Linked DNA regions of Rhinolophus ferrumequinum. The protein of the gene in region 3 interacts with the protein of the main gene of each other region in a pairwise test. Links are inferred from orthologs where the notes say so. Each region holds a gene or a part of one and is shown on either strand. Other genes may lie near its edges.

Region 1 (8,381 bases), on a different chromosome or scaffold from region 3:
TCAATATTCTTTATGAGAAAGCTGCCCCGAGTATAACATTAGTTTGCTTTTTCCCTCAAAATAAGTTCTTGGATGCTCCTCCTAAATAAACCACCACCTCAGAAACAGAAAGCCTAGAACTCCTGGAATGACCGCCCGGACAGTGTGCAGAGGAGCTCACTGACCCGACCATCACCCAGGCTGCACCGCCCACTGCCCTGCTGTGCGCCCTCACTGCCATCCTCCCAAACAGCACCTCCTCCCTTCCTGTGTGTCCCTGGTTGTTCCTGTCCTCAGGCCTCCACCTAGGTCACTCTCCCCCAGATTCTACTGGCTCTGACGCCCCCACCCCTCCCTGAAAACCACGCCTGGCATCACTGCTGTGTCTCCCCACCCATCACCCCACCCGATGGATGGCATCTAGTTTTGTTGTATTATGTGACACCCAGCAGCACTGAATGCTTGCTGAATGAATGAATGAACAACTAAGACTGTCCTTATGTGGCCTCTGCTCTCCATCCTGGGGAGGTTTCAGTTCTACCAAAGTCAGAGACCCAAAAGTGAGGCTTCAAGGCAACCCAGAGGCGCCCCTTCCCCACCCAGAGAAGCCAGAGGTCAGAGGGGGAAACTGGCAGCAAAGGGAGATTGCTCTGAGAGGGAGTCTGACTTTTCCATCCCTTCCAGATCTGTTAAAAGGTTCTATCCTAAAACACTTCCTCAGGTTTTCTCACTTCTGTGTCACAAGAGTAGCCAGCAATTATAGTGTAGTGACGACATGCCAGGCACTGGCAGTGCTGCCAGTCTCCTCGTTTGGGGGTGCTACAACTGTGCTGCCCCACATTTGGAACTGTGGGGTCAGAGAGACCCGAGCTCAAGTGGCAGGACTTGAATACAAACCCGGGCCTGTTTGTTCTACAACCCATGCACTAAGCCTTCATCCTGTACTGCCTCTGTGAGCACCCCGCATAGAGCAGCGGCCCTGCTTTACATCCCTGGAGCAATCACCACTATACCTGACAGTCTCCATCTACTTACTTGTTTGTTTTGTCTTACACTTCTTAGAATTTAAATAAGCTCCAGGAGAATAGGGGTTTTATTTACTCTGATGGTAAGTAGTAGACCATGAGCAAATACTGATTGAATGAATGACTGAAAATATGAGTAATTCAATCTGCAAAGTGAATAAAAATACTCTTTTAGATGTCTAAAATTTAAAAACTGACTTTAAATTTGTAAGAGTGTTGTAAATACTTCTCCTTCTCGATGTTTTTTTCCATGGTGTCCAAGTTTCTAGAAATCTTACATCTCCACTATTCCCCTTTATACCTATGGATCCTAAGCACCTTTTCAGTAAATCATTAAGATTCTTCTCTAAAGATCCCTTTACAGAGAAGCAATTTGTCCTAGCAATTTCAAAGGGATGGCCTCATTGATCCAGGGCTAGGGATACAACTGGACAGTCACACAAAGGCCCATCAGCATTAGTCCCAATTTCAGATCACCTGTCCACCTGTCAGGCTGTGCAGATGCTAACTCACCGACGATACGTGCCTCTCTTCAGCCGTCTGGCTCTCAAGAATCACAGGTTCTAATTCAACAGTTTATACCTCCGTACTGCATGAGTACTTTGTAATGTTCTGAGCATGAGTACTTTGTAATGTTCTGTTTTATTAGGGAAAAAATATCATTTCATTTAAGGATACGGAATCATGGAATCCTGGGGAAAGGGCCTTGGTTGATGATACCACTATCTCAAGGATGAAAAACAAATTTAAGACTCAAAGAAAGCATTTTCCAAAGGTAACCCAGGGAATTGGTTGAATTGAGGGGGGAACTCATGTTTCCTTCTTCCAGCTGGGTACATGTTTTTTGTTGTTTTGTTTTAATCTTCTGATTAATCTTAGGGTGTCCCCATTTTTTTCATTAAGGCACATCTCCAATTTCAAATGGAAGTCAATGAGAACAAAAGCTGAAGGCAACCGTTTGCAAACCTTATTTATATACCATCTTAATGCTTGTGCCTTACCAACATTATTATTCACTTAAGATTTGCTTTTTAAAAAAGTTTAAATATATATAAAAAGGGGACATTTTACAGCCTCATAGGCACTGAAAGCCTGTAATCAATGGCCAGAACAAGTTTCTTTCCGGTAACCTATGTGGTTTACCAAGTTTGATCTTGTTGCCTGCCAAAGCTCTGAGACTGAAGTTTGTCCTCTTATTTCAGAAAGGGAGATTAGCAAGTGCTAAGGGGGTGTTGATAGCAAACACTCCAAATTGGGGACTGTAATTAGGAGGGCTGAAAGTGAAAAGGAGCAGCAGATCAGTCTGTTACTACCTTGTCAACTCTCACCAGCAATACCACAATGGTATGTGTCCTCTGGGACACACTGTAGATAAAGTCTTTTCACGTCAGTGTCTTATGAACAAGAGGATTTAGCTTAGGAGTGGAGGCCGAGCAGTGGTCTGAACAGCATTTAGAGCCCTAGGATTTCCCACCTTAGTAACTTCATCAAATACCCATGGAGTCAGGAAAAGAGGGAAAGAAAACCGTTTCTTAAGCTCCTCCTCTGTATGAGGAATGCTATTGCTATAAACACTATTTAATCTCGCCATCAACCCTACAAGGCCTGCGTCGTAATTTTTTAAACTATGAGTAAATTGGAGTTCAGACTAGTATCAGATGACCGTTCTTTGCAAAGGCTCTAGGAACCCCAGGGCTCAATGGCTATCACGTCCACGTTGGCCTGACTTCTGGTTCCCAAAGGTTGGGCAGTAAGGAGACAAGACAAAGCCATTTTTTTTTTTTTTTGCATCTTTGAGAAATTACCGCCCCTGGATTCTAGTTAATTTGTTCACAAAAATACCCTCCCTCATCTACATCAACAACTCAGAGAAACGCCCGGGCACCCTCAAGACTCCCTGAGCTGGAGCCCAGGCAGTTGCGAGTGGAACCTACCTTGACCTGGAGCCTCGCCGACCTGAGCCCAATCCTGGCCCGACCGCTGCACGGCCTCCTTGAGCCTCAGTTTCCCTACCTGTGACAACAGATTCGGACAACAGACCCCATCTCAAAGAACTGCGAGCAGGTTCGATGGAGAAGGGTATTAACTACAGCATCTGCTCTTTCCAGACAACTGGCTAAGCGCTGGCCTATCACCACCTCCCTGAACCACCACAAGGAGGGAGGAGGTAGCAAGAACGCAAAGAGCCAGTCCCGGGACCCTCGGTGCCCGGCCAGCATTCGGGACACATGCCCGAGAAAAGGGCTCCCTTCCCACATCCCTGAGCCCTGCGCGCGGCACCCGCCGCCTGCCTCTCACCCGCAGCTCCGCCGCGGTTCCGGTTACGGCTCCGGCTCTCAGAGCGGCCACAGGCAACCGCTACTTCCGGGTCCAGCAGCCGCTGGCGTCCCTGCGACTGCCTGCTCTCCGGCACCCGCACGTCTCCCTCCATGGGTTCCGTGGCTTGCACGTTCCGGCAGCGCAGCCCCAAGTCGTTTTGCAAACCACAATCTGCAGGTAGTCCCCATTCTGCCCGCGGGGAGGCAATATTGACAATGATCATTATAATGATTATGAAAAAACTGGATGATAAGCATGAAAATATATATAGTTAATCATTAAAATAATTAAAACTACAGATGTGTGTATAGCAGGCTTCTTTCAATGCTACAAACATTTGTGGAATGAATGAATGAACTGTGTAAATTATATCTGTAAGATGAATTGGAAAAATAAAAGTATTTTTTTGTGATAAAGCATTAGGGATATAGACGTTTTAAATAATTTTTATGACCATATTTTAATATCTTTTACAAGCGTACACACATTTCCTTTGAGCCCTGTAGACACTCTTCCCAACTTGCCTCTATTGGAATACTAGCCCTGATAAATACTCTGGAAAAAGAAAAGTTCTATGGTCAAACTAAAGTTGGGCAATACCAAAAAATAAGAATCATAGTGAGATTTCACTTTCAAAATAGAACTTATGATTTCAAACCAACTGACTCACTCACTCCTTGGCGGACTCTCCATCTCCAACTTCATCTTCCTGATTGCTCAAACCCAATGCTTTGAAGGCATCCCGGATTCCTCTCTCATTCATTATGTATCACTGTCTTCAAAACGTATTTGAGACCCAATCAGTCGTCCCTGCCTCGGCTGCCACCACATTGATCCAAGCCACATCTACCCCCCCTGGCCTCCACCCTGCTGCCCTACGGTCTGTTCTCCACACAGCCCCCACTTATAGCGGCCAGGGCTAAGGTTGGATCTGAGCGGTTCGACCAACTGGTAAAAAGGCAACCCCATCGCTCATTTAACCCAGCTCCGGGGGGTTCGTTCTGAAGAGCAGGAGAAAGGACCTGAAGCCTGGGCCCAGCAGGGGGCGCTGAGTGGTCATCTCTGGAGGCCTGAGGGTCTCAAGAGGGTTCCTGGCTCCGCTGATGCTCTCTGTCCCAAGAGCCCAGCAGCTGAGCCCTCCACACAGACCTCCCTGGGAGCTGTCGGTCAGGCCCTCCTACGGACCCTTAGGTTGACAAATGACCTAGATTCATAGGAACACCTCACTTACTGCACAGGTACCTGGCTGTGGTAGATGGGATACCCGAGAGCTCCCAGGTCTCTCTTCTCTCTGATTGCGCATAGGCTGGACCGTGGTTTTGATAACACTGTTAATAGTTAACACCCACACAGTGCTTACTCTGTTCTAGGCACTTTTCTACTATTAACACATTTAATTCTCATTACAACACTAAGAATTAGATATTATTAATTACAACAATAATAATTATTATTATCCTTATTTGACACATAAGAAGACATGTCATAGATATAAATGGCAGAGCAGGGTTCCAAAATTAGGCAGCCTGATTCTAGAAGCCAAGTTCTTAACCACTGGCTGCAGGACTTCTCATTGCTTTCTTAGTCTCTTTATCTTTCTAGGCTTCAGGGCCCAAGTTTGTGCTGACTCAGCCGGCCTCAGTGTTAAGTCTCTGGGAGGTACAATCACCATATTCTGCACTTGAAGCAGCAGCAGCATCAAGTGTGCCCCAAACTGGTACAAGCATCTGCCAGTTCCTTAAAGTCCTCATCTACAAGAACAACGGTCAGTTCTCAGGTGTCTTGACTCAGTTCTCTGGCTCCAAGTCGGGCAACACAGCCTTCCTGACCATTGCTGGGTTTCAGGCTGAGACAAGGCTAGTTATTACTGTCATTCATGACACCACAGTTCAGCCTGCATAATTTAGAGTGCCAGACCCCAGAGGAAGTGAGACACATATCTCTTCTGGGTAAATTGTACTCTTTCTTATTACCAAGATGGTTTGTAAATCAATTCTGGCAATTTTGTGTTTCTTTTACTCACATATTATATTTATATCAGCTCCCTGTGTATCTTTGCTTCATGGCTGACTATGCTGTATTGATAACAGTTCATCTGTGGCTTTTATACTTGGAAATCAGTTTGGCTGGACCTAAATTCCCTGGCTCACATTTTTTCCCCGAAAATATTTTAAATATGTCACTCTAATGTTTTCTGATATAAAGTGTTGCTCTCAAAAAATTTGATAATCTGATTTTCTTTCCCTTGTAGGTGATTTTTTATTTTGGGCCTGGAGGCCCAAAGATATTTCTTTTGCTTTTAAGTTTAGTAGTTTTACTAGAATAAATCTTGGTGTTGGTCATTGCGATCAATTTTCTCAGGTTCATAGTTTCCCTCTGAATATATAGCTTTCCAAAATTTTTTTTTCTAATTTCAGGAAAGTTTTCTTGACTCTGTACATTTGTACTTGAATTTGTACTATTTTCTTGTTTTGGTTTTCCTTTTCAGGATCTCCTATTATATATGTGTTGACTTTTTTTTCTTTTTCTTTTCTGGCCTATCTTCTAAATTTGTAAATTTTTGTCAAATCTGTTTTATCTGTCTGTTTATTTATTTTATATACTTGAAAGAAAAGAAAAAGGTTGAAAGACACGACCTGAAATCAACTCTTCCTATAATGCAGTCATCAAACAGCATGGTACTTGTATAAGGAGAAAGACAGAGATCAAGGAAATGTAATAGAGCTTCCACTGAAAGACGGGCATATACAATGTCGATTGATTGTTGACAAAGGCACCAAGGCAATTCAATATGAGAAAGGAAAGTCTTTTCAATAAATGGTGCTTGAAACAAATAAGCTTCAAGTTCTACCTCATACTCTTCTGGCTTCTACAGCTATTCATTACTTTGCCCATTATATCCATTTTGCCTATACTCCCAAGAAATAAGGAAAGATAGTTCTTTAGGCTGCAGGCTCCTTAATGGAACTCAGACTTTATTTATTTACAACCAAAAAATTATCATTCTTTTCCTAGTTTCTTAGCAGCTGTTTTTCTTAAATCAAAATCATATACAACAGTGATTCTAAGCTAAGACTCCCTCAGGTGGTCAGAAAACAGCCAAAAATGTCAATCTTTTCTTCATTTCTCATGCACAATCCCATGGACAAAAAAAAAAAAAGAAGAGAGAGAGAGAGAGAAAGTTGATGTAAAACTTATAAACAGTAAAGTACAGTTATCACAAATGTACATTTGACAATTCCATTCATATGCGAATACCCACATTACCACACTCAGATCAAGACAAGGAACATTTCCAACACCCAAGAAAGCATGCTAGTTGCTCTCTCAGTCTTAAGGATTGAATTTGCCCTGTGCTTGCCTCTCTCTCTCTCTCTCTCTCTCTCTCTCTCTCTCTCTCTCTCTCTCTCTCTCTAGTGTGGATTCAGTGAATTCAGGCTGAATGATGGCTGGAAACTCAGTGGGCAGCGTTTGTAATATCTTCTCAAAAGCAGCAGAGGGCGCTGTGGGTATATTCCTGAGAGATACGAACGGTGTTGCAACTAGGACTTGGCTCCTGGCTCCTAGGGTCTTCAATGCTCCCAGGAGCCAAAGCTGTCTTCCAGCTCCTGCCCAGGCCACCCTTCACGGCACCATCTTGCAGGCAGAGTGCAGGGAGGATCAGCACCGCGCCGAGGAGGGGAGCTGGTCTGCACTAAGAGAAACTTCCCTCTTCACTGGGGCAATAGGAGAGGCTAGAGACTGCCCATCTCTAGCTGGGGGGTGAGGTTGGCTCAAGAGGGTTAGTATTAGTCTTTAAATGCTTCGAAAACTTAACCGGGGGAAGCCATTGAGACACGGGGTTTTCTCTGTGGGAAAATTAAAACTGAGAAATTCTGTTTCTTTACCAGATATAGGACGTTTTAGGTTTTCTATGTATTCTGTCATTTTGGGACACTGTATTTTTCAAGGAATTTGTCTATTTGTTTTAAGTCAAATTCATGGGTATAAATGCATGTGGATTATCCCTTTAAGTCCTTCCCCGCCCTGGCCTGAGTTTTTCTCCATCTTTTCCTATGTCCAATCCAACTCACCACTTCGGTCTGAGGTTGTCACTGGGTGTTTTTCTTTGAGGATGGTACGGGTAGGGGGTAGGGCAGTGGTGGAGGCAATGCCCAGGCCTGGGGGTGGGGGTGTTATCTGGGAAAAGAGGGGCTCAGTAGGGTTGTCCCAGGAGGGTGGGTGAGCGTGGATTCCTGCCTAGGGTAGGAAGTGGAGCCCTACTGTGCAGAGTGGACACCCTCCTCCCAGGATGGAGGGAATTGAGGGTTGGGGTCTCTGCTAAGATCTGGGGGCCTGCAGGACCCAAGACAGAGGCTCCTTCTGAAGAAGGAGCAGGCGCTGAGGGTTGTCCGCTGATCCAGAACCCCTGATATGGCTCTGCTGAGAAATGAAGGAAGAGGAGAAACATCCCCGGGAAGGGGCTTGGGGTTTGTCCTGGGGCAAGTCCCTGAACATATTACCCCCATGCCCAAAGGTGCAAACAAGGAGAAGAAATTATCTTATCAGAAACAGAAGAAAAATAAAATAAAAGCAAACAGTTGCAGAACCCAAAAAGGCACAAATAGCTTACGTGATGTCGAGTGAGTGAGGCTTTCCAAGACATTTACCCAGCCCTGGCTTGCCTCCCATAGCTCAAGATTCATAATTCTGTCTCTGTGCTTGTACTAGATACCTCCTGCAGTCCCCACAGCCTTCTCAGGTCACATGTATGGGAATGCAGCCACCTGTCCTCTCTGCAGAGGTGAGTCATTTGCCCAAACCCCTACTTATCCCTTCCCTCCATCATGGTGGGTGACTAATACAGATTAGGTGTATCACCTAATGAAAGTATCTACAAAGTCCAAAACTAAACTTTAGCAAACCAAATCCAACAGGGTATTAAAAAGACAATGTGTCACGATCAGGTTAGGTTCATTCCAGAAATGTATTTTAATAGTATTATTTCTCCCATTGAATTGTCCTGACAACCTGGTTTAAAATCAACTGATCATAAATGTGAGGATTTATTTTTTTGCT
Region 2 (7,278 bases), on a different chromosome or scaffold from region 3:
TTGCATTCTCCATTCTAGAAGGGGGGACACCTTCAAACCCTGGCAGTTAAGGACTTGTCAGGGTTCAGCTGCTCTAAAGGTCCAATTGTTTATTTAAATGAAAAAAAAAATATCGCTACTGAGATAATCCACATCTCGTGGATATGGGAAAATTTAGGTTATAATGGCACTACAAACTTTTACATCTAACTTTGATTTACAAGATAAAAGCAAGTTTTAAATTAAAAGGGCTTTCTGTTAATAGAGCTTATTATTCTGAAGACGGGAATGATTTTCTTCGAAAGTTGTCCCTGGGTACATGCCTATTATCTTTGCTTTTCCCCTTCCACTAATGAGCATTTATCTAAAGAGCCTGTTAATCCTCTGATGTGTGCTTCTGGTCAGAGGTAACAGTTTGAATAAAACCACTAATCACTGATCACTAAATCACTGATCATTAATCACACTCTCCAGTGTCCGTGACCCGGGCCATTTTTTCCTTTAGGTCTATGCATCATAAACAAGAAGTTTAACATTTTAGATGCACATGTTTGTGCGGGTGGGGGGGCAGTACTATTTCATCTCTAGATGTGAATAAATAATAAATACTGCCTCGAACTTGGGGAAGGATTGTCAATTAGATCCCAGACAGGAGTTTCACAAATGCTTACTCTGCAGCATGGCTTTCACTTTGAAGAAAGTAGGTCTGACTATAACAAAACATGTGTTCTTCAAGAAATCCCCACATCCTCAGAATATAAATTTTCCTTTATTTAGTTTTCAGCCACTCCAAATCAGAGAGCACCCAAGTCCTCTGCCCACTCCATCCAAAACCCCACTAGTAATTTTTTTTTATTTCTGCTGTGCACACTCCTCCCGCTCCAAGAGTTTTTACTTTTATCCCTTAAACATGGTCACACACTGGTGTTTTTATTTCCACTGCCAAATATGAAGTTCTGATTCAATTCATATAACGTGTGTATTTAACGTCCTCTTTAAATATAGAAACTTAAGGTTGAAGGAAAGAAAGTAACACACGCAGCAATTCATTGTATGGTATTTTGGGTTTAACGACTCACATTCCCTCACTTTGGAAATGAAACGTTTAATCTTGATCCTTTCAGCTAAATTTGATTTAGTCAGCATCCTCACTTCTTCCCTGGTCTGCTAAGCGGTTGGAGAAAGGCGCTACGTAAAATTAAGTGCTATGTTTGCAGTGGGTGTGTTGTTTTCCTAAATCACCACAGGGACACAGTATCATCATAACGTCTCTAAGCATTTCCTGAGATGTCTTTCTATCAGAGCTGAGTGTTTTCGCCCTGGAGAAGAGGGGTCGCTGGTGCCTTTCGTAAATAATAGAAAAGGGCAGATTGTGCGTGTGCTGATCAGGTACCGTGCTCCCCTCAGACACCAGAAGCTCTTACCCACACTCCAGGGACAGTGATAGCCCCGGGGAAAACAGTAAAAGGCGGAGGCGGGGCCAGAGTGATAACGGTGTGGGAGGGAGAGGGGGTGACGAAGGAGGGGTCCCGGAGGAGGGAGCAATACAGATGCCCACGGAACTGGCGCTTGTACAAGTATGTTGGGGCTGGGGGTGGGAAGCAGAGTTGCTTTGTCAGCATTTCTAAGCCCCCGAACCCTTGAGTATCTGAAGCTGTTAATCACTTACTGGCCTGCAGAATGACGTAATGGACCTGTATCCAGCCTTTATTCCTTGACACATGTCAGAGAGGGAGGGAAAAATAAAAATCAAACACACTCTGCGGACACTGACAACAAAATATACAAGCAGCCCACTCCGGTTCCTGGCCTTGAACAAACATCAAGTGGGGGCGGCACCCGTTCAGGGAAAGTTAGGAAGGAGGGTGGACAACGTCTGGGGCTTTATCTACCAGATAACACACACCCTCGCCCCCGCCCGGAAATAAATCTATGGCAAAGAAGAAGCTGGGTGCAGCTGCCAGGAGAAAACATCTCCTTCGTTCCTTCGCGTGTCTTGCCCCTCTAAGAACTTCGTGAAAAGTTTAAGCGGTTCCGTGGAGAAACTGTCGTAGAGGAGGGTTCCTTCGCCGAGTCCTGGGAACTGCCACCGCGCCGCCGCGGCAGAAGCCCGAGCTGTCACTTGGGGCAGCGGCGGGGAAGAGGTAACGATGCCAGCGAGCACCGGACGGAGGCAGGAGGCGGCTGAAGAGTGAACGCGAGCAGAGCCTCACCACTCTCAAGCCTTCCGTGCCTGGAGCGAAAGCCAAGTGCCTCCAAGGGCGATGTCCCCTCCCCGGGTGCGCGCGCCCACCAGCTGCGGCGGGCAGCCCTGCGGGAGAGGTGGCAGCAGCAGACTCGGCACCCGGGAGGGAGCGAGCCCCCCCGCACGCCCTCCTGCCCACCCGCTAGGTGACCACGCGTCCTCGCCGCGCCTGCTGGAAGTTTGCAAACTTTCTTCGGGGGTTCCGCCGCATCACCGGGAAGTTGGGGACGCGGGGGGAGGTTCCTGGCTCGCCGTCTCCGCTGCCACCGCCGGTGCCACCGCTTGACCGCACTTCTGGAGGGTTCCGCACCTTGCCAGGTCTCTGGAGGCAAACACACACCCCCGATTCATAACTGTTCCCCGCGTCAGGGAAACACACGCGCGCTCCCACACACGCACGCACGCCGGGTGGACACAGCGCTCACTCCACGTTAGCATCCCTTCAGTCGCACGGCGCAGCGGCCACCGAGACGCGCTCCGGGAAAGACACGGCGTGGGGTCTCTGGGGTGGCCTCAGGACACAGCAGAATTCCACAGTTCACCATTATTTGGGGCCGGACTTCCTTCTGGTCCGCCAAAGTGTTTACAAACACAGATCACCCTCCAAAAAAAAATGCATCGCATCTTCCCTACTCCTTGCCCTGTGACCTGCCCACTGGACCGAGTAACCTCGCGGCTGCTGCCGAGAACCAACCCCTGCAAACAAGTACGCTCCCGAGATGGCTCCCTCGGCAAGTGCAACAAAAGTGGCTAAATGCAAAAGCCCCAGAAGTGGCCGAGCCGTATTTTTAGGAACTTACCAAACAAGTGTGGAGAAGGCAAGAGCGGAGCCCGGGTGAAGGGACCACGTTGGACTGAGCAAAGATTACAATACATTCTATTTAGAGTGCATTACATCACCCCCCCGGTGACGTCACGTGGGATTCCTGAACTTCTAAATCATTGCGGTCCGCGGGGGAGAGAGGGAGGGGCGGGGCCGGCGCGCCAAGGGGGCGGGCCCCGCCCCAGCCCCGCCCCACCAGCGGAACCTGGTGCACCCACCCCGGAGCGGCGGCGGCGACGACCGCGCAAGCAACAGCTTGCAGAGCCCAGCGCCGTGTGACACGGCTCCCTGACATTAGTGGTGTGAGTCAGCTTGGAAACAATCCTCAGGGTTTCAGACAGGACCACGGAGGAGGCACAGACACGGGTTCTCCTGCGAGGAGGGCCTGGTAGCATTTGAAAGGTGTGGGGAGGGGTGTTAGGGGAGAGGTGGGAAGGGGGTCCTGAAGGGTGCGGGAAGAGACTTTCTACCAACAGAAATGAAGGACGCTACCCTCCTCCCCCAACAGCAGATGTCCAGCTCCTTTTTGCCTGCGACAACAGTCGTGACCTCATTACAGTGTTCCCTGCACTGCATCCTGGTTTCTCAGAGCGCGCACACAGCACTCCTTTTAACCGCCCCCACCCCACCTCACCTGCAGGGAATAACTTTATTGTGCACCCTCACATGAAATACACAAACCCCACCCTTTCCAAGACCCCTGCTTCGTGCTTCTGAGAAGCTGGAGGGAGAGTTGCTCCTGGAGGCGAAAGGTGAATCACTGCTGGAGCCAAGTGATGAGCCTGATTTAGACTCAGCGTCAGAGCCGGAAGGGCCCTTGGCGATTCCCTCCAGAGCCTTGTCTGTAACTTGCCCAAGCTCACAGGCTGGCAAGTAGCAGAGCCAGAGCCAGAATTCAGGATCCCGGCGCCTGGTCTGCAGTATCTTCCTGACAACTTCCTGAGAGAAGGAGCCTGGCATTTTCGGCGTTGGCCAGTCACCATCACCATCTTCAGCTTAATTTCCATTCAGATGTTCTCCCTATGAGGCGGACTCAAAGGGAAGGCATAGGCGAGATTCCAGCCGATTTTATGCGACCGCTGTCATCCTTGCAGCAGCTCACACTTTACAAAGCACTCACACCCACGTGAACTCTCTTGATTCTCACCACCCAACACAAGAAGTAGGGCAGGTGTTATAATTATCCCCATTTTACAGGTGAAGGAAGACAGACTCCAGAATGTGAGGGGGCTGGCCTGAAGTCACTTGAGCAATTGGTGGCAGTGGCATCACCCCAACCCCTGTTTTTAAAGCCCAGATCCCAACTAGGCTTCTTTCTAGAACCAGGAGTGAGCATTCGCTTCTCCTGGGTTACTGGTGGTCACAACCTCTGCTAAGGATGTGTTGGCTGAGAGTAAGAGGTTTGCTTAGAAACAGTTTAGCCCCCATTAACAAACAATAATTATTCCTGACATTTATGTAGCAGATGACATTTATATAGCACCCCTCATCCCAATGCCTCATAACCATGACTGTGCGGTTTGCCAGAGAATCATGACTGGACTGGCTTGAAACTGTAATGCTCTGCCTGGATTGTCACATACTTCTGAGCTGGTTTGACATACTGAATGGAAGAGCTTTGCATTTCCTTTCTGTTCTGAAGTGTTCAAACAACTCCCTCCCCTTCAGTGTTCCTTGAGACCATAGGGACTGACGACTTGTCATTTCTTACAGCCCTATTCAGGACGCATCACTGAGTTTTCTGTTTGTTCTTTTCCACATGTAGCCCTGAAGGAACCTGCAAAAGAAGGGCTCCAGTCCTAACTTGAATCTTAACCAATAAAACTTTAAATATGACAGCTCAATTACCTGGGTTTATGGAAGGAAGCAATAGCCCTACTCAGGATAGCCTCCTTGCCCACATCCCCATTCGATTGCCAGAAAAGCCTTTTCCACCTGAAGGAGGTATCTACCTCTTTCTCCCTCAAAGAAAAAGTATGAGCCAGAGGAGGAACAAATGAAGCAGAAAGGGGATACAGCTCAACACATCAGAGCTCAGTCTGAGAGCTTATCTTCTTTTCCAGCTGACAGGTGGGACCAAAAGAATAGAATAGAGAATTGAATAAGCAATGCCGAGGTGATAACCAAAATATTTAAAAGCCTGTAAGTAGTTAATCGACATGTAAATTTAAAACATTGAATCTCCAGTATTCTCTAAACAGAAGCATATACATATGAGGTTTTCTTTTTTAAAGATTTTATTGGGGAAGGGGAACAGGACTTTATTGGGGAACAATGTGTACTTCCAGGACTTTTTTCCAAAGTCAAGTTGTTGTCCTTTCAATCTTAGTTGTGGAGGGTGCCGTTCAGCTTCAAGTTGTTGTCCTTTCAGTCTTAGTTGTGGAGGGCGCAGCTCAGCTCCAGGTCCAGTTGCCGTTTCTAGTTGCAGGGGGCACAGCCGAACCGGCAGCCTTCGGAGTTAGGAGCATGGAGCTCTAACCGCCTGAGCCACCGGGCCGGCCCCTACATATGAGTTTTAATGCAAGTAGTTTATCAGTTTCTAATGCTATCCAGATCATTTGTTGAGCTTTAAAAATTGCGGACCTTTTGTTTGGCATGCCGTCACTAAGTAAACAATGCCCCTTTCTGAGCCATGATTGACATAGTAATACACATGGAACTTTTCCAATGACGTCCCCAATTACTCGATAATCATTAGGTTACTTGGAGTCCCCATAGGTAGATAATTTCTCTTAACATCAGTAGTATTGTTTAAGGTTGCTGACTCCTTTCTCAGCTTCTACTGAACTGACAGCAATTTCACTCAGAATGTTTCTAGCCATTGTATTATAGACAGTTTTTTATATATTTCAGATCTCTGTTACCAACTAAGTCACACACACACACACACACTTTTTTTTAATAATGTAACTTGAGAAGAAAGGTAGTGTTTCCCAGTGTGGACTCTAATGGCAGGCTGCCTGAATTCGAATTGTGGCTATGGGTCTCAGTCTCCTCATCTATGTAATGGGGATGATGGTAACTCAAATGAGTAAAGAACTGTGCTTGGCACAGGATAAATATGTAAGTACCTGCCTGCATTTTTATTAACGAGAGAAATGTGTCTAATGCCACGATAGGAAGGCATTCAGTGATTTTTAGCAAATTTGACCAAATAAATGAAAACAGACACTGTTTCCCCAAACTCTCCCGGCCCCACACTAACCCCTGCGTGCATCATCTGTGCCAAGCAGGTTTTCATCTGTCAAGCCATGCCAACACAGCCCTGAGGTTTGTGGACTTGAACTCCTGCATGCCTCGTGCTCTCACCCAGGCTCTTCCAGGATCTCTCAGAGCCAAAGTCCCATGGAAGCTGCAGTCCTCAGAAGCAGCCATGCTAGAGAACCTCTAGGGATACCACAGCTGGTGGTGGCCATAACCTGAGGCATTTGACTACTGAGGTACCAGCACCACCTCCAGAAATGCCATTTCACCCACTAGGATTCTACCCATTAAGGCCTAGGGGGCCTGTAAAGACAGGGACACTTACACTAGAATCAAGGTAAACTGTTGGGGTATCACCCACCCAGGATCCTCCCCACACCCTTCCACAGGGTAGGGTCACAAGTAGGGCACAAGCCCACCCGTATACAAAGACACTGGTTGGACCTATGAGGGGCTGACTGACACCTACACTGACCAATGAGAATAGATGACACCGCATGCTAGACCAGGGGTTAACCCTTTAGTGGCTAGATCATGGGGCAGTGCCAGGGAGAGGCCTGGGCAGCCGGGCCAATGGATAAAACAGAGGTAAGAGCAATGGGTATTTGCTAACCGCATTGGAAGAATTTTAACATTTTAACACATTTACAGCCTTACCAGTGGTTACCTAGTGAATATCAAGCCTGAGTAGAACCATCCCAAAGTGCCCTCAGATGAGGAGAAATCCTTTATCTCTTGCTTTGGATTTAGTAATTTCTCCAACATTCAACAAAGGGTGGGAGGTCTGCCCCATGCTGGGGAGAAAAAAAAGAAAAGGTCTTCTTCCATGTTCCTAGGCTCCCACAGAAGTTCTCAAACTCAGCGGCATCAGATGCACTTGGGCAACTTGTTAAAGGCAATTTCTTGGGTCAGACTTCCCCGGGGATTTCAATTCAAAGGTCTGGCATTGGGTTCAGGATTCTGCATTTGTCCGGGGACCCCACTTTGAGTGAGTCTTGCTTAGTGAATTTATAGATGGGCCCAGGAG
Region 3 (7,546 bases):
TGGGAGGGGTAGGCCCTGGGGGAGCTGAGCTCGAGGCAGCTGACATGTCCGGGTCCTGCGCTGCACCCCCACCCCACAGGGCTGGGAGCAAGAGGCCCACTGGTCCCAAGGACCCCAGATGCCCTCAGGGCCCTGTCCCTCCTCAGGGGGTGTCTGAAGAGCGTGTCCAGACAACACCTATGTAGACAAAAAGGTCAGACAAAATTAGAATGATTTTAGAGGAAGCCATACAGAGACTGTAGTCTAATGCTCAAGGCTCAGGGAGGTTGTCACCAGCTCAAGGTCACAGGCAGTAGCAGAGGTTGGACTTGATGTTATTGGGCAAGGAGTTAGGGGGTTGGGGAGAAGGGGAGGCTGGGGACGGCCAAGTGTGAGAGAGAGGGGCCAGGGCTCATCAGCGGCTGTGGAAAATGGAGGCATGGCCTGGACAAGTAGGATGGGAGGTCAGGGGAGGTGAAAGGGTCACCGCCTCTGGTCCCTGGCTCACCTCCTGATCCAGGCAGAGCCGAGGGAGGGACAGAAGCAGCATCAGACACAACCGGGGCCTACAAATGAAGGGCCAAATGCGGACGTCAGCCATCGGCCAGGAGCCAGAGCTGGTGTTGCCACATGGCCCCTCACCCCCCGCAGGCTCCCCACATCCCGATGCCAACTTCTCAGGAAGCAGAAGTTACTCATCACTTCCTCCCACCCCTGCCCCTCCCAGTGATCTCCTTTCCCTCGCTTCCAGGGTCAGAGCCATCCGTTCACTCCGGCAACCCACCTCTTACCTGTCCACCAACTTCTCCATCGCTTCTCCTTGACTGCTCCGGGCAAGGGAGGAGGGGACCAGAAGTAAACACACTACTCCAGCATCTGGACGTGTAGGCGTGTGCTCTGGTGATTACCCCTGGTCTCCAGAAAGCTGGGGGTTGGGAGGGGTGACTCCTCAGAAGGAAAGACATCTCGGAATGAGGAGGGTGGGGTGGGGGAAGCCTGGCCCACCCCTTAGGATCCTAAGGGTGAGCGTGAGAGGGACGCGGCCCTTGTCCAGCTGCTGAGGCGAAAGGGTGGGAGTCTCAAGCTTAGTCTCCTCCCCTTGGCCCTGTAGGGACTTCTCAGCTTCTCCCTTATCCAGGTAGGCCAGCTCAGGCACGGGCATCTTTCTTAGGATGGTTTTCATCTGGCCCCCACTCCCGCCCTGCCCTCCCAGAGGACCTGCGAGGAGGAAGAGGGAGGCTCCAGGGAGGACATGCCAGACGCCCCCTCGCCCCCTCAAGGAGCTGACATGAAGCCCCTTGGGCTTTCTGTTGCCTAGCTGCCTCTCAGCCTTTTCTTCCCTGAGCTAAGCTCCTCTGGAACACTCAGGCATCACAAAAGTGCTTCCATCACTTTTTAGCCAAGGGATAAACTAAGTGGGCTGATGCTTAATCTCTAAAGAAGCAGGTGATTTGCCCACTGCGATTTAACCTCCCTTTAGGAGCCAGCATCCAGCCTTGGTTCAACGAGGGCTTATTTCAGGTGCCACTATGATGGACTGGGGGTACCTGGGAAGGAGAGATGCAGCTAGAGCTGCCATCGCTCCCCAACCACAGGCCTAGCATTCTGAAGAGTCCAGAAGTCCATCCTGAAGTCTAGCGTGGATCAGTCAGAGAAGTGGCACTTGGAACCCTCCCCTGGTCTCACAGCCCGATTTGCCCACTGCTTCCCCTTACCCTCCAGCCCCTCCTGCTCAATACCAGCCCTTCCCACCCCCACTTTCATCCATTAGTTCTGCTTTCCAGGAAAAAAAAAATGTTTCTGTTGGATCTGAAAGGCACCCGGGAAAGGAGTCCAGGGAGCCAGTGCCGAGGTGGGCCAGCCCAGGGGCCGGAAAATGACAGAGGGAAGCGCAGGAATGTGCGTGGGGATAGCAACACTCAGCCCCACTCCCCTCCCTGAGACCCCAGGACTTGGGAATTTCGGGGCAGGAGGACAGTGGTTGAACCTGACCCACAGGGTCACCCCAGCTGCTTGCGGTTGGGGAGGGGGTTGCTGATGGCTTCGCCTTCCCCTGGCTGGGCTGACCACTGAGGTCAGCAACCCCGCCCTGATGGGGGCGGTGGAGGGGCTCCAGAGAAGGGCCAAAGTTCCACCCAAACCTTCCACTCTCTGCCTGGCTCAATCACTTGAAGTTGAAGGGGGTGAGGATCACTGCTGGCCCTTTCTCTGCTGCGGGGTCCCCTCGCCACGCCCTTGCTGCTTCCCCAGGTCTGTATCTTGCTGTCTCTCCATGGGTCTACCCAGTACACATAGTCCTGTCCTGAGCTGGGCTTGGCTTTGGCAGTTCCCTGGAGAAGTGAGGGGTGGGGGGTGGGGGTGACGTGAGCTCCTGGGGCCTGGGCCAGGCCTGGCTCTCTCTCTGGAAAAGTCCTACCCCAGCCCCCCTGCACAGCTAGGCAGGGGGCCGACACCCTCTCCAGTGTGGAAACAGGACACATTTTGTGCTTCTCACCCCTTTTCATGTCTCTTATCTGGTGTCTCTCACTGCCCAGGGTGAGGAAAGGGGAGGTCAGAAGTGGTCACCAGTGCCAGGCTGGACACTGGTCAGGACAAACCTGGGCTCCTCCTGGCCACACCTCCACACTGGCCAGTGAAGATCAAGGAGGAGAGACATGGGCAGGGCTAATCCCTTCACCCCCAGAGGGACCCACCTCTGGGAAATAGGAGGCTCTGCTGGGGCAAGGGCTAGACGACACGTTTCTGGCTGGCTGCTGCGGAGAGTCCCTGCCTTGGGTAGGACTCCTTGGTCCTCACTATGCCCTCCACTCCTGGGTCCCGGAGGACCATCCCAACAGGTGTCTTTCCTTCTGCTCATCAGGCTGAGCTGGATCACCGGCACCCACCTGTTGCCCTCTCAGCGCCCCTGTCCCCCAACTCTAGGAGCGACGGGGGTGGAGGCACATATCCTCCAGGGGAGGGCAGGAGGCGCCGGCGCGTGCGGGGAGGTCCTAGGTATGTTTTCCAACTTTACTATGTGACTTAGTAGGAATTTTGGCTGATTCTCATCCCAGATGACAGGGACAGAGTTCCACGGGATCAGAGCCCCCTCCCCAGGAATTTGACCCCAGGGACTGGAAGATCTTCCGAGGCTGTAAGAGCTGGGGCCGGGGTCGTGGCTATGGCGCGACCTGGGGCGCAAGGAGCGGGGGCGGCGCGGGTGCGCGGGGCGGGTGGCCTAACGGGACCCGGGAGAGAGGGCGCCGGGGCCGGGGGTCCCAGGGAGGGTCTGTACCTGCTCTGCGCGGCCCCGGCGGCCCGTTAACCCCTCTGCGCCCGGGCGCTCTCTCGAGTCAGCCTGACTCCGCGGCGGCCACTGCGGCCCCTGAGCCCGGCTCGGGACACTGCCGCCTCCGGCCGCGGCTCCGCCCCCGCCCCGCCCCCGCCCCGCCCGCCACGCGCCCAGCCAGCGCCCCTCCGCGGCCCCCGGGTGGGGGCGGGCCACCCCCAAACCCTCCTCGCCAGGGCCACCCACCCGGGGCTGCGGGCCTTGGTCACCCCTGCGTGCGGGGCGCCTACCGATGGCTCGAGGGGGCGAAACCGGGACGGTCCCAGCCGGTTCGGCGGCAGCCGTCTGCCGGGCACTGCCCTTGGGCCCGTGTGCTGGGCCCACTGGAGTTCGGGACCCCAGGACCCCGGCCTCCGGATCGGCTCCGAGTGGGTGATGCGAACGCCGGGCCAAAAAGTTTGGTGGCGCCTGTCCCGGAGCGACGCGGGCGAGTCCAGGCTCCAGGTGGGGGCTGCGTACCCGGCTGGCATGGTCCCGCGCGACCCCAGACCCGCGTGGGTCAAGGCGCTCTCCTTCACGCAGCCTCTCGCGCTAGCCCGGGCATCCCTGTCTCTCCCAATTTGAGTCGTGCATCGTGCGCTGCTGATGGCTCAGGGACCTCTAGATGAGCCTCGGTTTCTTCACCCATAAAATGTTATACACGGGGCGCAGTGGGACAGATGCGCTGACTCAGCAGTCACGATCTGGATTTGAATCTCAGCTCGAGCACTTACCTGCCAACTCTGGGGGCCCTTCTGTGCTGCAGTTTCCTCATCTGTAAAATGGGGCTAATCTGAGATATACATATATATATATATATATATATATATATATATATATATATACACACACACACACACACACACATACATATATAGTAAGCTTGGAAATGTGTCTATATCCATTCATATTCGGAAGAATGCACCCCAAACTCAGACTATGTGGCCACAGCTGAGGAGAGGTGTGGGGTTGGGGAGGGAAAAAACGGGCTTTCGCACTTTACACTATATGTTTATGTGTTGTTTGAATTTGTAACCATAAGTGTTATTAGTTACGTTTAAAAATAAATAATATATATATATACAATGGCTGGCATAGAGTAGCTAATAAATGGTCACTATTTTTAAATTTTTATCTGCCATTTACTCACGAGCCACAGTCCTGTATTTTCGGATCTACTCAGTATTCCAAAGCTTTTGTTTTGTTCAGTGACTTGTCAATATTTTAAAACCAGGATATTGTATAACTTCTCTTTAAAAATTAAAGACATAGGGGTGGCCGGATGGCTCAGTTGGTTAGAGCAGGAGCTCTGAACATGGTTGCTGGTTCGATTCCCACATGGGCCAGTGAGCTGCGCCCTCCACAACTAGATTGAAGGACGAGTAGGAGCTGATGGGCCCTGGAGAAACACACTGTTCCCCAATAAAATTTTTAAAAAATAAAGACATAAAAACAGAAGTTCTAATCAACGTTGTTCTGCATCCCCATAAAATAACAGGGTTTCAGATGCTCCCACCCAACTAACAGTGAGCACCTTTGGTACTTGGTGGTGAGGCCACAGTTAGATGATAATCTCTGGCCTCGAGGAGCTAGATCTAGCTGGGGACAGACAGCCATGGGCACATAAATACTGGACTCAACATTAGCAAATGTTATCTCTAAGAGATGAGGGAAGTGAAAATATAAAAGCCTTTTAAAATGCAAGAACTGGATCCTTATTTGAAGTTTAACGTGCATATTTTGTTTCCTCAGTAAATCCCTTTTTATAGATTGCATTTGTGTTTTGTTTTTTTGTGGATTTGTAGGATTAAAAGAAATATTTGAATTGGAATGTTATAGAACGGACAAATGAGTCCCAGTGCCCAGGCTTGCTCTCCAGGCTTCTCCAATCAAGCTCAGAGGTGCATAGGCAGGTGGGTAAACTGGCTGGGGACACCCGAGATCCCTGTGATTTTGTGGCAATGCAGGACAATGTTACTAGTGCTTTTATTTTTCTAATTTTGTTTTTCAAGAGAAGTGATAAAATACTGTTTTTAAGATATTGAAAAGTCACGACAACAACAACAAAACTTTTAGACACCAAGGTCAGGTTTGTCTGTAGGCCTCAAGTTTTGCCTCTCCTTAGAACACTCTCAGTCTTGCTGGGTCCTGTGTTTTCAAAGAGGTGAATGCCCCCCTCCCAGGAGGGGTGGTTTATCTAGGGACTGTGGGTGACACACAGTCCTAACCAAGAGGCATATTTATAGTCATGGATTTGGAGCGGGAAGCCCCTTTGCTCAGACCTCAGAGTACAACGCAGGTGACGAAATGCCCAGCCCACAGGGGCACAGAAGATATTTTAGGTCAGGGACCTTTCAGTGCCCTGCAGTCACACCCCAGCGGCATTCTACAAGGAGGCAAGTTGCCGGAAGATGGCCCTGAAGACAGCAGAGTGGGAAGGGAGCCGGGAGGATGGAAACGGTCTGCCTTTGACATTTGTAACTGCTGTGAACTGAAGGTCAGAAATAGTCCTTTCCATTAAGAAGTGGCTGCAGACCAAAGAGCTCGCGAGATTTACTACAGCTGTCACCTCCCATGACTTGGGGGGCTGAAACTATTATATAAAGACAAGAATTTCACAACTTGTGAAGTGCAAGATAAAATCTATAGACACTAATAATAATAATAATAATAATAATAATAATAATAATAAAGTTCGCACGTATATATATTTCATGTAGTCCTCATCATGACAGATTCGGAAACAAAGACACAAAGAGCAATTCAGTAATTTGCCCAAATCTCACAATTAGAAGCTATTATCTCTATATGTTGTGTGTAAGTGAAATTTGTGAGAAATTTAGCTGAGTTCAGTTAATAATTTTTTTTCCTGGTAGTAAACTAAGGAAGTTTTATTTACATCGAATTAAATAATATTTTAAACTAATGTTTCCTATGAGATATTGTCCCTGTTCCAAGATCATACGGACACTAATACCAGTGGGTACAGGTGGGGCCAGAAACTAATGTGAAACTATCTGTCTTTTGGTTTGTGGTCATAGCAACCATTTTCAGAAAGCCTGCTGTTTGCCTTTCTGCCTCTCGGAATCACGGTTTGCTCAACTCCTTTGTTCCAGAAGAGCCACTCTATTCCCAGTCGCTCCACAGCAGCCGTTGATTCCGTGTCCTGTCACGTTATTTTACACTGTTTTCTTGGTTAGAAGAAGATGCCATTCTTCTAACCATTTGGCTTTGCTTTGGCCCAGTTAGCTCACCCCACAACGGTTATGAGAACAGGCTGTTGTGACCTATTCTCTATGAGCAACCTGGGGTGGGGAGTGGGGGACCACCTGGCCATGCTTTCCTTTGTATCCACCACCTTGTCCTGCACATAGTAGGCATTTAATAAATGCTTGGGGGATGAGCCCGTGAATGAGAAATGGTGAGCACTGCCTCAGCTCTGGCCACGTTCCAGCACTTTCTGGTTGTTGTCTCGCCCCATGGCTGAGCTGGCTCTAGGGTGATGAAACGATGAAGAAACAGGATGTGACCCATCTGGTAAGATGAGGACCGAGACATGGATGGGACGTTCTGGTTTCCTAGTCACTACTCTGGAGATGTTAAATTTGGTCAGAAACACCCAAAGCCAGAATTCTTCTTGATTTGATCTCCACATTTCAATCTACCAGTGCCTCTCAGGTAGGTCTCAGTGGCCTTGGTGACAGACTTTGCTTCTGTGCCACCCTGAGCCATGTGACTGCTCAACGGCATTCTGAAAACAGGAAGTGCTCAATGTTGATGGAATTGAAGGAATTGATCTGGCATAACCCTGTCAGCCATTAAGACTGCAAAATCGGGGGCGGCCGGATGGCTCAGTTGGTTAGAGCGTGAATTCTGAACAACAAGGTTGCTGGTTCAATTCCCACATGGGCCAGTGAGCTGCGCCCTCCACAATTAGATGGAAGACAATGAGCTGCCAATGAGCTGCTGGAGGGGCTGCCGGTTAGAGCGCAAGCTCTTAACAACAAGCTTGCTGGGAATAAGATTGAAAACGGCGACGGGACTTGGAGCTGAGTTGTGCCCTCCACAACTAGATTGAAGGACAACTACTTGAAGCTGATGGACCCTGGAGAAATACAATGTCCGTCAATGTTCCCCAATAAAATTTAGTTTTTAAAAAAAGACTGCAAAATCGTCAGTACTTTGACAACTACGATAAGGAGTTTGAACCCATGCATACATCTTCTTACATATGTGTTTGGGAAACATGGCCATAAGCTG
Region 4 (8,207 bases), on a different chromosome or scaffold from region 3:
CGTACAATGGGGTCCCAGCGGGGAATGAAAGGTGACCCAAACAGATGCCGAAAGGGTCCCGAGGATTTAGGAGGCCTGTGTTCAGCAGGTCCCGTGCGCTCTCTGACTACCCTACCAGCTGAAACTGCGACCCCAGGACCGGATCCGGACTGGAGAAGTAGGCCTCAGGGTCGCTCGCGCTGACCTGGGCTGGAAGGTCAAAGCCTCGCTTCCCTACTTGTCCCGAACCTGAGGCGCTACCCTCAGGGGTCGGGAAGTGGTGCTGAGGGAGTGGGACTGGGGCCCCAGGGGACCTGTCTCTTCACCCCTCTTAGCGGGAAGTCAACGCAGGCCTGGGACCTGGGCTAAGGAGTTCAGGGAGAGACGTGAGAGCTAAAGAAGTCTCCCGCCCCTATCCTTCGGGACGCACGGCCTGGGCTGGGAGAATCCAGCCTGCAGAGAAGGGGACGAAAAGGAAACAGCCGGGGCTCTTGGGCCTCGGCGACTCTGCTAGGCTGCAGTGTGAGTTTCAAAGACTTTCTTTAAACTTAACACTTCAGCTCGGTTACTTCGGAGGAGGCGGGGGCGCGGGGCCGCAGCGGGGCCCTGGGGTCCTCCGCGCACCAGTAGGGGAGCCAGGCCGCTCTCCAGCCCCGCCCACGTGCCGGGACCCGGGAAGTGGGGACCCGTCTGAGGAGAGGAACGCAAGAGCACCCGGCGCGTACCAGAGTCCCGAGCGGCCCGGCGGCTTTCTCCTTACCTCCCTCAGCTCTGGGGCTGCTCACCATCTACCTCGCGCCCTCACGAACCCGCCGGGCAGTCAACCTGCAAAACAGAACCGCAGGAATTATCCGCCGGGCTGGCGTTGTCTAGGACCGCCGATTTCTTTCTTTTCCCAACTTCCCTCCTCCCGTCTCTTCCTTTCCACTGGCTTTATGCGTGTCCCTCCAAGTTTCACTTTATTGCACAGACACTTTGCAAAACCCCACACGCTCCCGAGACACTACCTTGCCCAGGATCGTGCCAAGGGGCCTCAAGGGGGAGGGTGGAGTGAGAGGGGCAGAGTTGGGAGGCAGCTCGCGGTTGCCGCTGCACTCCCGGTAAAACGTGAGGCGGTGGGGGCTGGGGAAGTCCTGCAGAGGCACTTTACAAACTAAATAAATCAAGCGATTTACCTTGTCGGTGTGGCTTGTCTTGCCCGGTTGTTTAGGTGATTGGAAATGTAGCCTGATGAAGATTGATCACCTTTCTACTGCCCTCCCTGGGTATGTGAACGCGAGGTGAGTGCGTAACGGGGCTAGGCTGCCAATCCTGGGCCCCGCGCGGGCTGAGTGACAGGGAGCCGGGCAATGGCAGCCCGAGTCGGGGGTTACCTCCGCGCGCCCCCGCCCTCCCCCGCCCCCTGCACCCCGCCCTCGCTGCACGCCCGCCCCGCCCCGGTCGCGCGCTAACTCCCGGGCTTGGCTGGCAAACTACGCGCACAGCCAGGCGAGGAAGACTTGCACAGACCCGGAGCCCCAGCCGCGGAGGGGGACGCCGGTCCCCAGGCCGCCCTGGAGCCCCCGCCCTTCTCTCACCCTTTCAGCGCCCCGGAGGGAGTGGCAGAGAGGAGGCGAGGTGCTGGAGAACCGGTTCTCTAGCTCTCCCGAGCGCCACCCGACTCAGCGGCCGGGTTGTGGGCGCGAGGACTCAGGCGGGCTGGAGGAGAATGGGCCCCCAGCCCCCGGCCCCTCGCGCGGCGCTGTGGGCCCCAGCGTCTTCTTCCATTGCGCCGCCACCTGCAGACGGACGCCGCGGGCAGCTCGTGCCGGCACAGGCTACTCTGCCGAGCGCGGGCGCAGCGCCGGGTGCGCAGAACCCACCTCGGCGCCCCAGGACTCCCGCTCCCGTGAACAGCACCCGCAGGAGAGGCCCCGCCATTTACCTGCTCCTCGGCGTTTCCTGAAGTTCCCAAACCCCACGAAGGGTGTTTGCAAATCTTAAACGCTTCTTCTGAAATGTCGTGTCCCCTCCCAGTGTTCCCTTCCCCTTCCACACACACTCTACTTCTGAATCGAAAATTTTTGATAGGAAACTTTTTCTTTCACACTCCGTCTCTGTCTCTTTCCCAGTATTCTTCTACCAGGGACAATCGGGTGGAAAAGGTGGTCACAGATCCCTGCCTTCATTTTCTTTCCCACATGCCGCAGAAGGAGCCTCCCTGAAGCGATTTTCCCGTATTGTTCGTACTGGCAAAGCCCATTTCTCAGCCAAACAAACTTCTCAAACACGTCCACCTGGTGGACTTTTCAAAGCTCAAAAAACGTCTTTTCGCCCCAATCCTGAGCAAGGCAATTCTTTCAAATGGCACCTCCTCCTGAATATTAGGCACGACTTTACTGCCTTTCGAGGAATTCATACCCCTTTTTCCTAATCCCCCTTCCCTCCACCCCTACAGGCGGAGTGAGAAGTTTGGACAGGAGTAGGTGTGAGAGAGAGTCAGGGAGCCGCCGGGCGCATTGAGGGGGTCGGGCACCGAGAGAGGACCGGGCGCTGCGCAAGGAGCAGAAAGAAGGGGGAGCCCGCTGAGTGGAAAGGGGCCGCGGCCGCCGCTCATCAAAGTGCTTCCCCCTCCCCCAAGCGACACTTTCCTTTGGAGTCCGAATAAAATACGGTAACAGAATATGATGGAGGGCACACTGTTTCCTTAACTGCTTCTCAAAGGACCTGGGAGATCTTCTTAGGACCTTTAATAAGGCTTTGGTCGGTTCTTTTGTTGATCTCTCAAAATCAACTCCTTCTAATTGAAGTTGGAGCTGAAAGCGAGCTAATGTTCAAAGAAAGTGGCCGCCAGACCAACGAAATTACATTTTTTTTTTTTGGAAGATGAGGGAACATCTAATCAAAGGGGCCAAGGAGGAGGGGTCGGAGTGGGGGAGTACGAAGGAGAAAAGGAGGTTTTACAAGATCCTTCTCTGGTTCACAAAAGTCAGCGACACGGGCGCTTCTCTCTAGAACAAAGACACCGCAGCCCATTCACAAAAGAGAAAGACTGAGAGAGAGAGAAAACAATAAAAGAAACGAGAGAAAAGGAAAAACATGAGAAAGAAAAGCTTTAACTGGAAAAGAAACTGCGCAGAGCGCAGCGCTGACCCGGGCGGGGACACACCTTAGGCTTGCGCAGGCCCCGGCAGGGAGTAGCTCGCGAGGCCCGCGGCTCGGAGCCCTCGGAGACGTTGCAGAGGTTTACAGAAAGAAACGAAATACACCCTCTCCTTCAGTTCTGGGAAAAGGCGCGGGCTGGAGCACAATAGTTTTGGGGGAAGCGAATGCGGGCGTCCTGGGGTGCGCTTTGGCAGCGACTGTGTCCCTAGCAATGCGCTGCTCCAGCCCAGGCCTGCGCGCTGTGTGTGTGGCTTAGTCCTCCAGGGCCTGGGTGCGTGCCTTGTCCTAGACCCGCCACCTCTTGCTCTCATGCTTTCTCGGCGCCCGGTTATGCCTGCAGCTGCAGCGCGGGGCGGAGGTCCGGCTGGGCGAGGTAGGGCGGTTGTGCGCGTTGGAATGTGCTCAGGCGGTCCCGAGGGCCCGCCACGCGGGAGCCCTGCGCTCTGGGTTCCAGATGCTGCACGGTCTCGGGGAAGTTGGGAGGTATCAAGTAGCACGGTCTCCCCCACCCCCCCCACGCCGCCAATGAGAGTACTTATCTAATCCCAAATTGCAGGCGAGTTTTCTTAATGCTCAACCCATAAAACCCCGGGATTAAGAGAAGAAAAAGAGAGGGGAGAGGGAGGAGAATAGAGAGAGACTGAGATGAAAGTTTCTTGTATGCGTCGTACAGGACTGAGGCGGCCGTCACTAGGCACATGTCCAGGTGGGAGACACTTGGCCAGAAGCCTCGACCTCTCCAGCAACGGCCGTAGCGCGGGGAGGGGAAGTGGGGGCATCCCCGAGAGAAGGCAAGTCGACTCAGCCCGTGGCCCGCAGGGCCGGGGAGGGAGCGTGGGAGTTGGGCTCCGGGACCCGGATCCAGCATCCAGGTGACCTCGAGGCCAGGCCATACTCTGGAGGACACTTGGTACAAGGGGAGGGGTTTGGCTCCGGGGACGTGGGATGCTGGCCAGAGGAGGAAGTTCTGCACCGGCCCGCCGGGCAGTGCCCAAGCCAGCCGGTTGCCAACGCTCCTCCTCCTCGGCGACCCCCGCGCGCACAGCTTCTTTTCCTGCAGCGCGGGCTTTCGGGTTCCCGGCCTCTCCGTATGCTGGGCTCGCGCCTGTGCTCAAGAAGCAGCCCCTGGGCACAACGCGAGGCAATCGGGACACGGCGCCCTCGCCACGGGCCTGACCCAGCTAGTCCTGGGGGCCGCTCTCCGCCGCCGCTGCGGGGCGTGCGGGCGCCACGGCGCCAGGTCTTCGGGAGCAGACCAAATGGGACCCCAGCGAGGCTCCCGCCTGGGGCAGGAGGGGCAGCAAATCTGGGGCTTGGCAGGTCGGGAGCGGCTTGGGGGAGTCGCCTCTCTGTGAGGCTCCTCGGGAGGGAAGGTTCCCCGAATCCAGCGTAAATGGGGTGGGTGATGCTGGCCTCCCAAACGTCAGGCTGCTCTGGGCTGGCGATTTCCGTCTGCCGGCTTGCCAGGGCTTAGAGCGTGCGTCTGAGAGCTTCCCCCAGAGAGCTGCCGCTGGCTCGGCTCTTCTGCTCGAATAAAGAGGGCAAATACCCGATTTCACTGAGTTCCGATAACTTTTCAATAACTTCTTAAAATTTCTGTCGTGAAGAAATTCTACGGTAGCAAGTGTTTATCATTTTGAAAGACTGGCAATTGTAAGTGGCTGCATATTTTCGAACGAATTTATGTGTATGTATAAATATTTGTGTGTATGTACACACATATATGCATATACCTATATATATGTATATATACATACATATATATGATCTAGGCAAAAGTATATTTATTTGCGAGTGAACTGTTTTCTCTCTCCAGACTTGTTGAATGAGCTTTCTTTGTTTCGGACACCTCTGTAGAGGAGTAATGGAAACTACCGTAAAAATCGCCAGTTTCTTTCTGTTGCCTAGAACTTCTTAAAAGTTCCCTTTTCCTCACCTCATACACACCTGCAGCACTTACCCCCTCCCCCCCACCCCCCAGCAATAAACCTTTCTTTCACTTTAGCATCTACAGATTTGCAGGCTATTAGAAGTTGTAGTTCTTCCTCATATGGCTGTAAAATTATAACAATTGAAAATAATAATGTGGAGAATTCATCAAGATATTAACATTTTTTTCAGTGCTGTGGAATCACAAATTTCCTCAAATCTTTAACAGAAATGACCGTTTATAAAAGATAATAGTTTACACTGCTTAAGAAAATATGACTAACTGCTTTTCAATTCGAATTCCTGTGTCAACAGGGCCCCTCCGGGATGGTGTAAACTTATTCAGCTCCAAATACAGCCCAGTATCCTGCCCAGTGCTCAAGTGGACCATTTTTTTCCCCCACATGAAAAGTCCTACAGAAACACAAACTTCTCAAACCAGTGTCAAGTTTTCATTGCAAGGAAGTAGCAGAGTGTTTAAGGTAAGAAAGTTTCTGCTTTTATTGAAAATTTATATATGACTTCAGCATTGTAATAAATAAACAGGTAACCATTTTCACAAAAAAATGACAGTGCTACGCTAGAGAAGAAAATATTAACTGGGGGATTTACTCATAGTGGCAAGACAAACTTTTATCAATACAGAATAAATATTAACAGCATTCTTGAGCCAATGTTGAAATCCAACAAAATGTAGGAACCAAGCTAGATGTAATAAATAATTATCTAGAGAAAAAGATGGCGCATTCTCAGAAGATAAGACTGTCTTTGTAAACTGATGCATGTCAATTAATACCATCTTCACAGCTCACCTTCAAATCACAGGACTTGTCTCAGGCTATGTTAAAGGGCCATCATCCTCTGAGGAAAACAGAGGAGAGGAACTCTATTATCCTTACAGTGAAATGCAAAACAACTGCAGAAAATCCCACTGGTAAATAGAACACAGTTTAATAAGTAGAATGAATATGATCTAACTATAAAATTTAGGTAACAGAGTCAGTGTTACATATGGCAGGACTGGAAAAAAAAATCATTCATGACATTTTTCTTATTCCCTTCTTACCCCCCTCCCACCGTCATTATGCTATTAACAACAACAAAAAATGTTTTCAATTTCTTCCTATCAAAAAGTGAGGGAAAATACTGAGGGAAGGGTTTTCTTTTCTTTCTTTCTTTGAACAGTTTCTTGAACACTCGTAATACCAATCATTCACAAGGTGTCTGTGCAAATCTATCTCACATGATTTCAAGGAAATGATTAACTCAACAAAAAAACCCTTAAACAAAGCTATTTTGGAGTTCTGTCTATTATCTGGAAAGGAGGGAGGAAAAGGGGTGGTGGTAAAGAAGCATAATCCAGCCAAACAAAATGTTAAAAGTTTTAAATCAACGAGTCTGACATTTTCTGGTCTGGGGACCCAAGACTAAAATGTTGGGAAAGATTCTGGTCCGGCTACTATTGAAGAACACATTTCTCTTCTTTCTTGGCCATCTTGCCTTTGTTTTGCTCCAGAGTTCGCTCCAAATGCTCATCTTCTTCTTCGGCCCTGGAAGTCAAATAGGAAACAAAATTATTTTTCTACGTGGAGGGCAAAGCCAGCATTCCCCGCTTGCCCTGCATTCCGAGCCCCAGCGGGAATGGGCACAGCGGGGCCAGTGGGAGGCTGTCCCGGCCCATTGGAGACCTCTGGACTGAAGTTTCCGCAAACTTCTCGGCCCCTCAGCAGGCAGCAGAGCCTGGACCCCGATCCCAGTGCCCACTTACTGCTTCTCCTGCGCGTCCAGGTCCCTGACGAGCGCGTCGCGCTTGTTCACCAGGGCCACCAGCTCATCCAGCAGGAGTTGCTCCCGTCGCTTCTGGGCCTCAGTCTTCTGCCAGTCTGCAAAGGACCGAAGGCTCGTTACTCACCCGCGGGACACTCGCAGCCCCCCCCCCCCCCACACACACATCCTCCCTTCCCGCCTTTTCCAGTTTCCTTGTACTCTGCAAACCATATTACAGAGGCACTAGCTAGTGTTCTGTGGGGTGTTTGGCCATCGTGGTAAGGTTTTCACCCCTAAAACGCTGCTTTCTAAATATTTTCCGCAGATGGAGATGGCTACGGCTGAGTTGGACCCTGCAAAAGAGACCAGGTGTGAACCATTGGCTAGCCGGAGGTGCGCACCTGATTTCCGCCCTAGTAGGGGAGGGAGAGCTGGAGGCCTAGAAGAGGTCGGCCCAAGGCTTGGTGGTGGTGGATGTGGGTAAATGAGGAGGCGGGAAGCAGAGATGGGCGATAAAATCATTCTGAAAGGCTAGAGAATCTGCCTGAGAACCTATCCTCCTCCCCCACCCCCAAGCTACCCTGTACAGCCCCATTCTTCGCTAATTTCCTCTATGCTCTATTTTAGCAGTTGGATGTATCTCACACTGGGCGCCATATGCTTCACAATAACTTTAAAAGTAGTGAATCGGCTAATTAGCATTTTCTTTGAAGTAAAAAATAAATTTGCTCTGCAATATTACACTGCAGCTCTCGATCGCATCACAGCCAGTTTTCTTTTGGAGAGGTTTGCTGGGTGGTTTCAAATCAAAGCACTTTTGCAAATGAAAAATTACATACTTCTTTTTGAAATTCCATGTTAAAGGTTGGAAAATCTGATGGACAGTTCTCTTTCCGTGGTTAGGAGTTCTTTTGGACGGTTTTAGACCCCAATTAATAATATTTCCTAATCTTTGCTGGCCTGATAATTTCCTTAAGATGAGCAGCAGTTTGGTTTAATAAAAACAGGACCTAATCGAACATTTAAAGCATTTCTGAAACCAAAGCCAACTGCTCTCTGGCCAGACTGTAAGGGCTTGTAGCTGTCAATCAACCCCCAGTCTACCCCGCCTCCCTCATTAGGAAGGTAAACAATGAAAAGAAGAAGTAGATGATGAGGCAGATAGGAGAACAAATGAGGACCTAGAGGGAAACAGGACACCAGCTTAAAAAAAAGGCATGGCCACTGACTCATGCAGCCCCCGTCCTCCAGCAAATGCACTTTCCAAAAAAGAGAGTGGAGTGCAATCCTTTCGGGTTTCTCCCTTCTCTCTCCATTGCCCTGGGCAATCATGTTAAAACTCACATGGCTGGTGCTTATTCAGATAAACCTAACAATGCACACCGCTG

The links.
Region 1: the proteins of ADAMTSL4 (region 3) and TOP3B interact in binary tests that used the Homo sapiens proteins (3 or more experiments, as listed by UniProt). The two-hybrid records come from large-scale screens. The link is inferred for Rhinolophus ferrumequinum from reciprocal best matches to the Homo sapiens genes ADAMTSL4 and TOP3B.
Region 2: the proteins of ADAMTSL4 (region 3) and CREB5 interact in binary tests that used the Homo sapiens proteins (3 or more experiments, as listed by UniProt). The two-hybrid records come from large-scale screens. The link is inferred for Rhinolophus ferrumequinum from reciprocal best matches to the Homo sapiens genes ADAMTSL4 and CREB5.
Region 4: the proteins of ADAMTSL4 (region 3) and OTX1 interact in binary tests that used the Homo sapiens proteins (3 or more experiments, as listed by UniProt). The two-hybrid records come from large-scale screens. The link is inferred for Rhinolophus ferrumequinum from reciprocal best matches to the Homo sapiens genes ADAMTSL4 and OTX1.

What each region holds. Positions count from the first base shown.
Region 1 is NC_046308.1:22,783,736-22,792,116, reverse strand, and holds the start of TOP3B (DNA topoisomerase 3-beta-1), read right to left. Parts: upstream 3,372-8,381; 5' UTR 3,303-3,371; intron 3,018-3,302; 5' UTR 2,939-3,017; intron 1-2,938. UniProt on the Homo sapiens protein: Releases the supercoiling and torsional tension of DNA introduced during the DNA replication and transcription by transiently cleaving and rejoining one strand of the DNA duplex.
Region 2 is NC_046303.1:13,464,048-13,471,325, forward strand, and holds the start of CREB5 (cyclic AMP-responsive element-binding protein 5), read right to left. Parts: upstream 3,083-7,278; 5' UTR 3,025-3,082; intron 1-3,024. UniProt on the Homo sapiens protein: Binds to the cAMP response element and activates transcription.
Region 3 is NC_046305.1:50,813,443-50,820,988, reverse strand, and holds the start of ADAMTSL4 (ADAMTS-like protein 4), read right to left. Parts: upstream 3,359-7,546; 5' UTR 3,254-3,358; intron 928-3,253; exon of another isoform or gene 905-927; 5' UTR 791-904; coding exon 771-790; intron 546-770; coding exon 488-545; intron 178-487; coding exon 1-177. UniProt on the Homo sapiens protein: Positive regulation of apoptosis. May facilitate FBN1 microfibril biogenesis.
Region 4 is NC_046296.1:26,506,548-26,514,754, forward strand, and holds the start of OTX1 (homeobox protein OTX1), read right to left. Parts: upstream 3,226-8,207; 5' UTR 3,128-3,225; intron 1,624-3,127; exon of another isoform or gene 1,557-1,623; intron 1,257-1,556; exon of another isoform or gene 1,155-1,256; intron 805-1,154; 5' UTR 740-804; intron 1-739. Other genes in the region: EHBP1 (EH domain-binding protein 1), read right to left, coding at 6,512-6,602, 6,821-6,935. UniProt on the Homo sapiens protein: Probably plays a role in the development of the brain and the sense organs. Can bind to the BCD target sequence (BTS): 5'-TCTAATCCC-3'.